Linked DNA regions of Rattus norvegicus. The protein of the gene in region 2 purifies or fractionates together with the protein of the main gene of each other region. This does not show direct contact. Links are inferred from orthologs where the notes say so. Each region holds a gene or a part of one and is shown on either strand. Other genes may lie near its edges.

What was found.
Region 1: the proteins of Ccnb2 (region 2) and Pkmyt1 purify together in Homo sapiens (affinity purification with mass spectrometry; 4 studies listed by BioGRID and IntAct, with this or other methods). This does not show direct contact. The link is inferred for Rattus norvegicus from reciprocal best matches to the Homo sapiens genes CCNB2 and PKMYT1.

The regions. Positions count from the first base shown.
Region 1 is NC_086028.1:13,251,343-13,255,914, reverse strand, and holds the start of Pkmyt1 (membrane-associated tyrosine- and threonine-specific cdc2-inhibitory kinase), read right to left. Parts: upstream 3,090-4,572; 5' UTR 2,869-3,089; intron 2,857-2,868; exon of another isoform or gene 2,715-2,856; intron 1-2,714. UniProt on the Homo sapiens protein: Acts as a negative regulator of entry into mitosis (G2 to M transition) by phosphorylation of the CDK1 kinase specifically when CDK1 is complexed to cyclins. Mediates phosphorylation of CDK1 predominantly on 'Thr-14'. Also involved in Golgi fragmentation.
Region 2 is NC_086026.1:79,978,641-79,982,945, forward strand, and holds the start of Ccnb2 (G2/mitotic-specific cyclin-B2), read right to left. Parts: upstream 3,019-4,305; 5' UTR 2,951-3,018; coding exon 2,927-2,950; intron 929-2,926; coding exon 800-928; intron 723-799; coding exon 609-722; intron 1-608. UniProt on the Homo sapiens protein: Essential for the control of the cell cycle at the G2/M (mitosis) transition.

The DNA.
Region 1 (4,572 bases), on a different chromosome or scaffold from region 2:
TCCAAATTTTCAAACTTTCTACAAAGCCACAGTAATCAAGAAAGTTTATTTGCATAAAGATGAAGGGGGTAAACTAAGGGTTCTAAAACTTGTGGTTAAATCATTTTTTCTTTGAAGCTGAGCACAGTGGCACACACCTTTAACCCCAGCACTTGGGAGGCTAAAGCAGGCTGATCTGTGAGTTCAAGGCCAGTCTAGTCTATAAAGCAAGTTTGTTTTTTTTTTTTTTTTTAAAGATTTATTTATTTATTATATATAAGTACACTGTAGCTGTCTTCAGACACACCAGAAGAGGGCATCGGATCTCTTTACAGATGGTTGTGAGCCACCATGTGGTTGCTGGGAATTGAACTCATGACCTCTGGAAGAGCAGTCGGGTGCTCTTAACCGCTGAGCCATCTCTCCAGCCCATAAAGCAAGTTTTAAGACAGCCAGGTCTACACGGAGTGACCCTGTCTTAAAATTTTTTTTTTTTGTTTTGTGTTTTTTCCCCCTCAAGACAGGACTCGTTATGTAGTTCAAGCTGGCTTTGAGCAGCCTCCTGCCTCAACCTCCAGAGAGCTGGAAATGCTTATTTCAAAAAGGATGCCGAACAATCCAACAGGAAAGCAGAATCTTCTCAACAACTGGGTAGCTACATAAAAAAAAAATTTACTTCAGGGGAAAAAAAAATCAACTTTATCTAGTTTTCTCACCCAGAAATTTATAGTTTTGTTTTGAGAAAAGTCTATGTAGTCTGGACTGATCTTGAACTTGAAGCAATCATCCTGTCTCAGCCTTCTGAGTGCTAGAATTACAAGCATGAGCTAGCACCATTAGCTGACATTCAAGGACAGAAATATTAGTGTTTGATCTTGGAATGGATGCCCCAGATTCACCAGGGGTGGGGATATATATATATATATATATATATATATATATATATATATGCACATATACATTATAATACATTATATATAAAAAGCATATGCATATATATTATATAAAGCATATATACATATATATATATATATATGCTTTCTTAGGATGTTTATTCATTTATGGATCAAACTGTTATTTAAAAGCTATTAGTCACTATGGGTCAAACCAAGGGGCTAACATGCCAGGAAAGCATTCTAGCAGGACTACACCTCAGGCTTTCATCTGCGCTTTCTAAATCTGAGATTTATTTTTGTTTTGTTTTGTGTTTTGAGACAGGTTCTCTAGTGTAGGTTGTCTTCAAGCTCTCTGGCTGTGCAGTCAAGGAAAACTGTGATGTTTTGATCCTCCTGACACCATCTCTATGGAGCTAGGATCATAGCCATGTCCCACTACATGTGGGGCTATATATTGAACTTAGGGCATGATTCATGTTAGGCAAATGCTAAACCAACTAACTTATTAATCTAACTCCAGGCCCTAAATCTGCTCTGCACGGACATACAGAACGTTGAAGGACTTAAGACTGGTGTCTAGCATGAATGCTAACTGCTGTCTTAATCAGTGCTTTAGATAGTAGTTGAAATGACTCAAGTATAGTAGTGTAACCGTGTCAGTTAACTAACTGTGTGCCCGGGGGACAGAAGGGGCAGAAGGTTGCTACAATGTTGTAATTGAAACAAAGGTAAGAAAGCAACAGAAAGAGTCCATTTTTGGGGAAGCCACAATGTATCAAAAGATGCCACACCTAGCCTCTGGTGCTGGGTAGATCAAATTACTACTTAGGTTAGGTACTTAAATTAAGAGGCTTGGCTGGAAGGCTCTCTTGTTATGGCTCTATTTACTTCAAGAATCCCATCTCAGAGGTGGCCTTTAGCTTAGTGATAAGAGTACCTGCCTAGCACAATCAGGGTCCTGGGTTTGATGCCCCCTCACCCCCAGATAACAAACACAAATCCCATCCCAGGTCTTCTTGAAGGAATTAGACTGTCACGATCCATGATAATGCTGATTAATTAAACCTACAACTGTGAAGGGACAACCTTAAGGGGGGTGGGTGGTAAGAGTACTTGCTGCCCTTCCAAAGGACCAGGTTTGTTTCTCTGACACACTGACATCATAAGCATCTGCAACTCCAATTCCAAGAGGTTCTGACACCCTTTTCTGACTTATGTGGCACTAGGCACAAACGTAGTGCTCAAACACACATACAGACAAAAATACCCATATGTTAAAAAAAATAACAAGAAGACTTTTTTTTTAAAGGAAGAAGGAATACAGACTCCATGCCTAGCACCTAGGAGTCCATCACCTTCTGTCTTCAGCCAGAAAGGCTCTCTCCTCTTAATGTCATCTTCGTTTCAAAGTCACTGGTCATTTACATTATAATACCTCTGGCCTGGTCAAACAGCCTTTATGGGGTGAAAAGGGTTGGTAGTGGAGTCCTGGCTGAGTCCAGAGTGGTCCTGAGCCACCAGTCAGCCAGGAGACCTCCGAGGTTTCCAGGGGCCTCACCCTTACTGAGCTGTGGACACATCTGATGACCACCACCTAGCTTAGACTGAGTTCCTCTCGTGCAGGGCCGCTGCTAAATTCGCTCAGTGGGCTGGGGAACTCTGACAAACAATTGCGTAGACAGGCTGTCACTAGGTCAAGGGGCTCTTCCCAGAGAGTGGCGGGGGGTGGGGGGGAGAGGGGCAGACCCAGTGGGAAGGGACAGAGGGCCCGGGGGAAGTAGGCGGGGCGTGGACGACAGCGCTGACCTGGCGTCATCTGAGGGCTAGCCGAGCCCGTGACAAACAGGGAGGGGTGGGGCTGCTGCAGGGGTGCGACCGGACACTGAGGGGAGGCTGGGGGTCCGTCACGGGGCGCAGTGCAGCAGGAGCGCGGGCCAGGGCGCCGGGCAGAAGAGCGGCGCGGCCGGGAGATCTCACTCGGGTATGGGCTCACCTGGGGAGGCTGGGCGGGGCGCAGCGCGGCGCAGCAGCGAGGTCCCAGGTTCCGGGTCGGCGGAGGCCGCTGGGGACCTCGCAGAAGCCAGGCAGGCCGGGATCGGGCAGCGGGGCCTTTGGACACCAGGACGAAGCACCCTCCAAGAAGGGGAACGGCCCGTGAACGCGCGCGGAGCCAGCTCGCGCCAAAAATTCCAAACCGGCCTCGAGGCCCCGCCCAGGCTCGTCTGTGGCCCCGCCCCCTCCTGGTACAGCCGGTCAGGCGCCCGGGGCACTGGCTCCGCCTCGCGTCCTGCGTGCGCACCGAGGTCTCCCCGCCCCCGAGGTTTGGCCAAGCGCTCTCCCTGCGCAGGCGCACCTCTTCGGGGACTATTGCCGACTAGGTAGCTAAATTCTTAGTCCTAGAGACCAGGTGGGAATGATCCTTGACCCGTCGGTGTCCTCCGGACATTTGTCGGCCTTCAAACTATGGTCCTCCTACCCGCTGCTCTCCATTGGCTGCCTTAATATTCATATCCATAAAAGGGGCATTTCCTCAGGAAGTTGCCACTGGGGCAGCTCAATCAAATGTCCGTTACGCATGATCTTCTGCACATTCAGATACCTGTTCTCTTCACCACAGGATCGCGATTGAGAGTGCCTCGTCTAAGGTGGAGTCTCCTTACTTCAGTTACTTCTGAGGCAGTTTACATCCTTTAGTTCTGAACTTAGTGTTCAACTCAGACCCCTCTCAGTCTCTTCCTGCCCTCATAACTGCCGGTATATGCTGGGCATTCCCAAGCTTGAGATTGTCACCTCTCTTCGAGACGTGGAGCCAAGGAACCTAAGATGATTTCTGCAGAAGGCCTGCGTGAGCAAACGTGGGATGGAGCTTGCTTCTGCAGGAAAGGGACCTTTATCGATTTCATGTAGAAGTGAGGTATCATGCTTTACAGCCAGTCTCCCTAAAATGTTCTGGCAATCTCTTAGGAAGGAAGGCCAGGCCCTACCTAGACCCAAGATCAAGAGCAGCACACTTCCAAGCCCTTCCCTTTGCATTAGCGTCTCCGAGAGCCAGAACCTTGTGACTTGGGTTAGTCCCTGTTGAGGACCCCAGGCAGGTCCCTCTCCAACTATTTAGAACTACTTTCTGCCGGCCCCATTTTCTGGACAGGCCCTGCCCACTTCTAACTATTCATTCCTCAAAGTCTAATTCATAATGATTAAAACAAACAAATAAACAAACAAACACAATAACTAAAAATACTGCAATGGTACATGCCTATACCCCAAGCACGGAGGCAGCCGAGGCAGAAAGAACACATGAGCCCAGGAACTGGAGGCCAGTTGGGCACTATAACAAGACCCCTATCTTAAAATCAATCAAATAAACGATAAGTAAAAGTTGGGTATAGTGGTATATAGCTCTGTAACCCCAGCACTGAGGAACGGGAGGCTAAGGCAGGAGAATTTTTTTAGTTTGAGGCTACCATAATAGATATCAGAAGTTCCAGGCCCTTTAGAAGAAGGAGGAGGAAGAGGAGGAGGAGGAAGAGAAAGAGAAGAGGGAGAGAGGGAGGGAGGGGAGGAAGAAGGAAGGCAGGCTGGAGAGATGTCTCAGCAGTTTAGAGCACTGACTGTTCTTCCAGAGGCTCTAGTTCAATTCCCAGCAACCACATGGCGGCTCACAGCCCTGTTCTAAAGACAGCTACAATGTACTCCT
Region 2 (4,305 bases):
GATTCAGTGGATAAAGTACTTGCTACCACCACCTTAGCCCTGGGACCCACATGGAGGAAGGAGAAAAGCAACTCAGGAAAGTTGTGCATTTGACCTCCAGATGTTCACGCACGCACGCACGCACACACGCACACACACATGGGGTGGGGGAAGGAGAGAGAGACAGAGACAGAGATGGGGGGGCTATCTTATAGTAACTATGTAGGAGAGCACATATACACTTGAACCTATGGAAAACAGGTAAGTAACCAAGTCCCTTAGCTCAGGACTCTAACTCCAGCTGAGCTACTCAGTCACAGAGACCACCATTAATGGAGGTAGAATTGAAGCATCACCAAGCGGGGGCCTGGGGAGATGACTCAGAGGTTAAGGGCACTCACTGGCTGCTCTTGCAGAGGACCGAGGTTGGTGCCAGCATTCATGTGTCAGCTTACAACAACCTATAACTTCAGTTACAGGGGATCTGATGCCTTCTCTCCACCCGCCACAGTCCCACCATTAGGGCACTAGACTCAAACGCAGTACCCAGATATATATGCAGGCAAAATACCCATATACATAAAATTAAAATTAAAGGATTTAAATGCTGTAAGTTCAGGGCCTCCCACCTTCGGGGCCAGTGTCTCCATCTGCACTGGTTTCACAGAAGCTGTAGGTTTCGGCTGTTTGCTGGCATTTATTGCTTTGGTGGGCTGGACTGGTACTTTGGTATTCTGAGGTTTCTATAAGAGAGAAGCAGAGTGAGCAGGGCAAGATGGCCAGTGTAGCCCCTCCACACTTGTCACCTTGCCCTTGTTACCTTAGCCACTTGAGCCGGTCTGGCTCTAACTTTATTTCCAATTTCTTCTAAAACAGCTCGCCGGACAGTCACATGGCTCTTAGCTTTAGGATTAACTCCTGTGTCAATATTCTTCAAATCACTGGACACCTTAAAACAAAACAAACAAAAAAACCACAACCGACAACAAGCAAACAAACAAATAAAAAAAAACCATTAAATACAGAGAAAATGAAGAATACCTACCCACATGAGGTCAGGTTCTCAAATTCAGAACTACTTTGAGGAAAGTAAATATGCTGAAATCTATTTAAAAAGGGGAGGGTGGGACTAGAGATGGCTCTCAGCAGTTAAGAGCATTGGCTTCTCCTGCTGTGGACTGGGGTTCAATTCCCAGTATCCACACAGCATCTGTAGCTCCAGTTCCAGGGGATCTGACGTCCTCTTCTGGCCCATGAACGTACTGTACACACATGATGTACTTGATTTATGTACTTCAAAATAAAAGCTTAATTTGTTTTGTTTTTTGAGACAGGGTTTCTCTGAAGCCCTGGCTGTCCTGGAACTCACTCTGTAGATAAGGCTGGCCTCAAACTTACAGAATTGGGCTTTTGTTGTTTTTAAAATTTAATTATTTTTAAGGGAAAAGGTACATTTTAGGAAATCTAAAAATGCTATTTGAAATATCACTCTCAATTTGGCAAACCACCACCTGCCTAACCTATAAAACAAAAATCTTATTACTGGTCATGTAAATTGTTTTGCATATTCAAGCAGTTTTTAAGAGACACCAAAATCTCCCACCTAAATGACTACTTCTTCTAAGTAACCTGTTGTGATCCTTGTGGGTTAAGACAATTGGAAACTTCCATTCACACAGTATATCTATAAGGATAAAGAGCTTTGATACCAATAGTTAATGATGGTCCAGCTGTTTAAAACTGCTTGTCTCAGACTTAACACTAGCTTGGGTTATAATGTCAACCAAAGAATAAGACATAGCACCACAAGGGAAGACCTTCAGAAACACAGCTTTTTACAGCATAGACTCACATTAAGGATATTTTTACCAACAATAGGATGGGTAAAATAATTTTACCTCTCAAGTATTGGGAGAGTCAGACTTGTATGAAAAAGAAAAAAAAAAACAAAACAAAACTAGCGTTACTTGATCTTAACTGCCTTCATCTGGAATACAGTTAAGAAACACGACTTGCTATTCAGACTTCAAAGTTTACTGTGTGGTACAATAACAAATATTTCATGAGGAAAAATACTTAACTTCCTGGGAGTTAGGGGGTCCCTAATCCTTCGAACAAACAAACACCTCCCCAAAACTGTTTTTTAAGATGACCTGTTAGGATAGACCAGATAAAAATGCACCCCGTCTCTATAGAAGACTTAACTATTAAATAATTTAAAAGAACCAGTTAGACCAAAAGTACTTGTTAGTGGCAGTTACATCTACAAGAACCCTGACTGTATATCATTGTTTAGGATTCTGATCCCTAAGGCTAAGCTGTTCAGTCATTATTGCTAGCACCCCACTGCTAAATTCTAAACGTGTTTGAAAGTTCAATGTCTTATGAGTTGAGGCCTGGTAATGAGTACCCTTAAATTGGCAGCTTTTAACTAGCCAGGACAATGGCAGGCAGCTGTGTCAGGGCCCTCTTGTTTTCAACTAAGGTAAAGTAGATCCAAGTACAATTAAAGCCTAAAAGTCAGTAATACTTTCATTCTCAAAAAGATAATTAAATCAATTTGGCCTTTTGCCCCACTGTCTGCAATCCTAGGATTCAAGTTTTGTAATTTTCCTATTACACTTGGGTGGGTTTTTGTTTTCATTTTGTTATTTGTTTTTGAAGAGGACAAACCCACACTTTAATAAACTTGGCCAGGAAGGCAGTATGGAGACGGGAATGGGAAGCTCAAACAAAGCAAACTGAAAAGTGTGAAAAGCAGCGAAATGGTACGGGGCGGCTTCCCGGTTCCTCCCGGTCCTCATCCCCAGAGCAGCACAGCCCTGAGCGGTGACAGGAATGGAGACCCCAAGCCGGGCCTCTGGACCGCTCTGGCTCTGCCAGCGCCTCGCCTGTAGCTTTCCGGGCCACCCGGCAGGGCAGGGCACCGTAGCCCCAGCGAACTCACCGTCGGGCGTCGGAGCAGCGCCATGAGGGCCGCTCTGGCAAGTGCGGACGAGGCACTGCCACTCCGATCCGCGACACCGTTGGGAGTCTCAGGGCCTTGCCGCTCTGCGTCCACGGCCTGGGTCCGCGATTCAAATACCGCGCCGCTCACGCACCATTGGGTGGACGCACGCAGGGCGCGCGCATCCCATTGGCTAGACTGGAAGACCTTTCTGCACGCTGATTGGCCGGCTTGTATTTGCTTGTCATAGCAACCAGCGAGGCTGCCGGGCTTTGCTGTTTCCCAGCCTACAGTCGTATTTTCAAATCCGAGTCCCTGAGATTAAATAAAATAATTTTCCCTTCTACTGGAAAAGACTATCTTAATTTTTGGATGGGGGGAGCCATACGGACAGTTGTCTTTACAAGTTTGTTCTGGATTGGGTAGAAGTGGGCTCTAGAGAACATTCTGGAAATGCTACTTCTGACCTTACTTCCTCTTCCGGAAACGTCTACCTGGGAGTTTGGATTGGAATGGTCTGGCAAATGGAGCAATCGTCTCCAGGTCGTTCAGGGCTACAAGATGATTGAGGATCGAACGTGTTCTATATATGGTCTTTCTAAATCAGACCCCCAGCAGAGTCATAATTCAAGCTAGACGTGATTTGTATGAGTTCCAGCACGATACAACCGGATTCAAAAACTGTTTGTCAAACGGTGGTGTGATGTGCACAAGATTTCAAAAGAAAAATAAGGAGTATCCTAAGTTGAGAATAGTGAGAGATGAAACAAAAGAACTCTACCCTGGGGAAAAGACGGTAGTGATCAAGACAGGAAAAAATGCTACGGCAGGAGCCACTGCTTAGTGATATGATGTACGTGCAAAGTCCTGAAAAGGAGAGATCAACAGAAAATGGTCCAGTGCCAGCAGAAGGACTTGAGATTAGGCTCATATAAAACCTGACTCACATCAGGCATCCCCATTAGTCTTCATTGTTTTAGTTCAAGTCTCTTCTATTGGGAAACAGCAATTGCCCCCCTCCTACCCCCATAACCTCACCCAAACCTGACATTATCAATCTGAGTCTAAAGGAAGAACCAGTGTTGTCCCAACACTCCCACCTGGAAGACAGGCTGGCAGAATTACCCATCACTCTAAATTACACAAGAATATGGGAAATCAAAGGAGCAGAAATAGCTATTTATATTCCATTAAGTTCTTTCTCTCAAATACTTGCTCAAGGAAATGAAAGTTCTGTGACTGATTCCTTTGTTCAGCATTCTTGCTATCGTGAAGATGCCACAAATAGCCTTCTCCTTCTGGGAAGCTTTGGTTTGGATTGGGGAGGAAACTGTGCTCAGCAGTTTGTACTACGGCAGTGCCTGTAATTCCAGCTACTT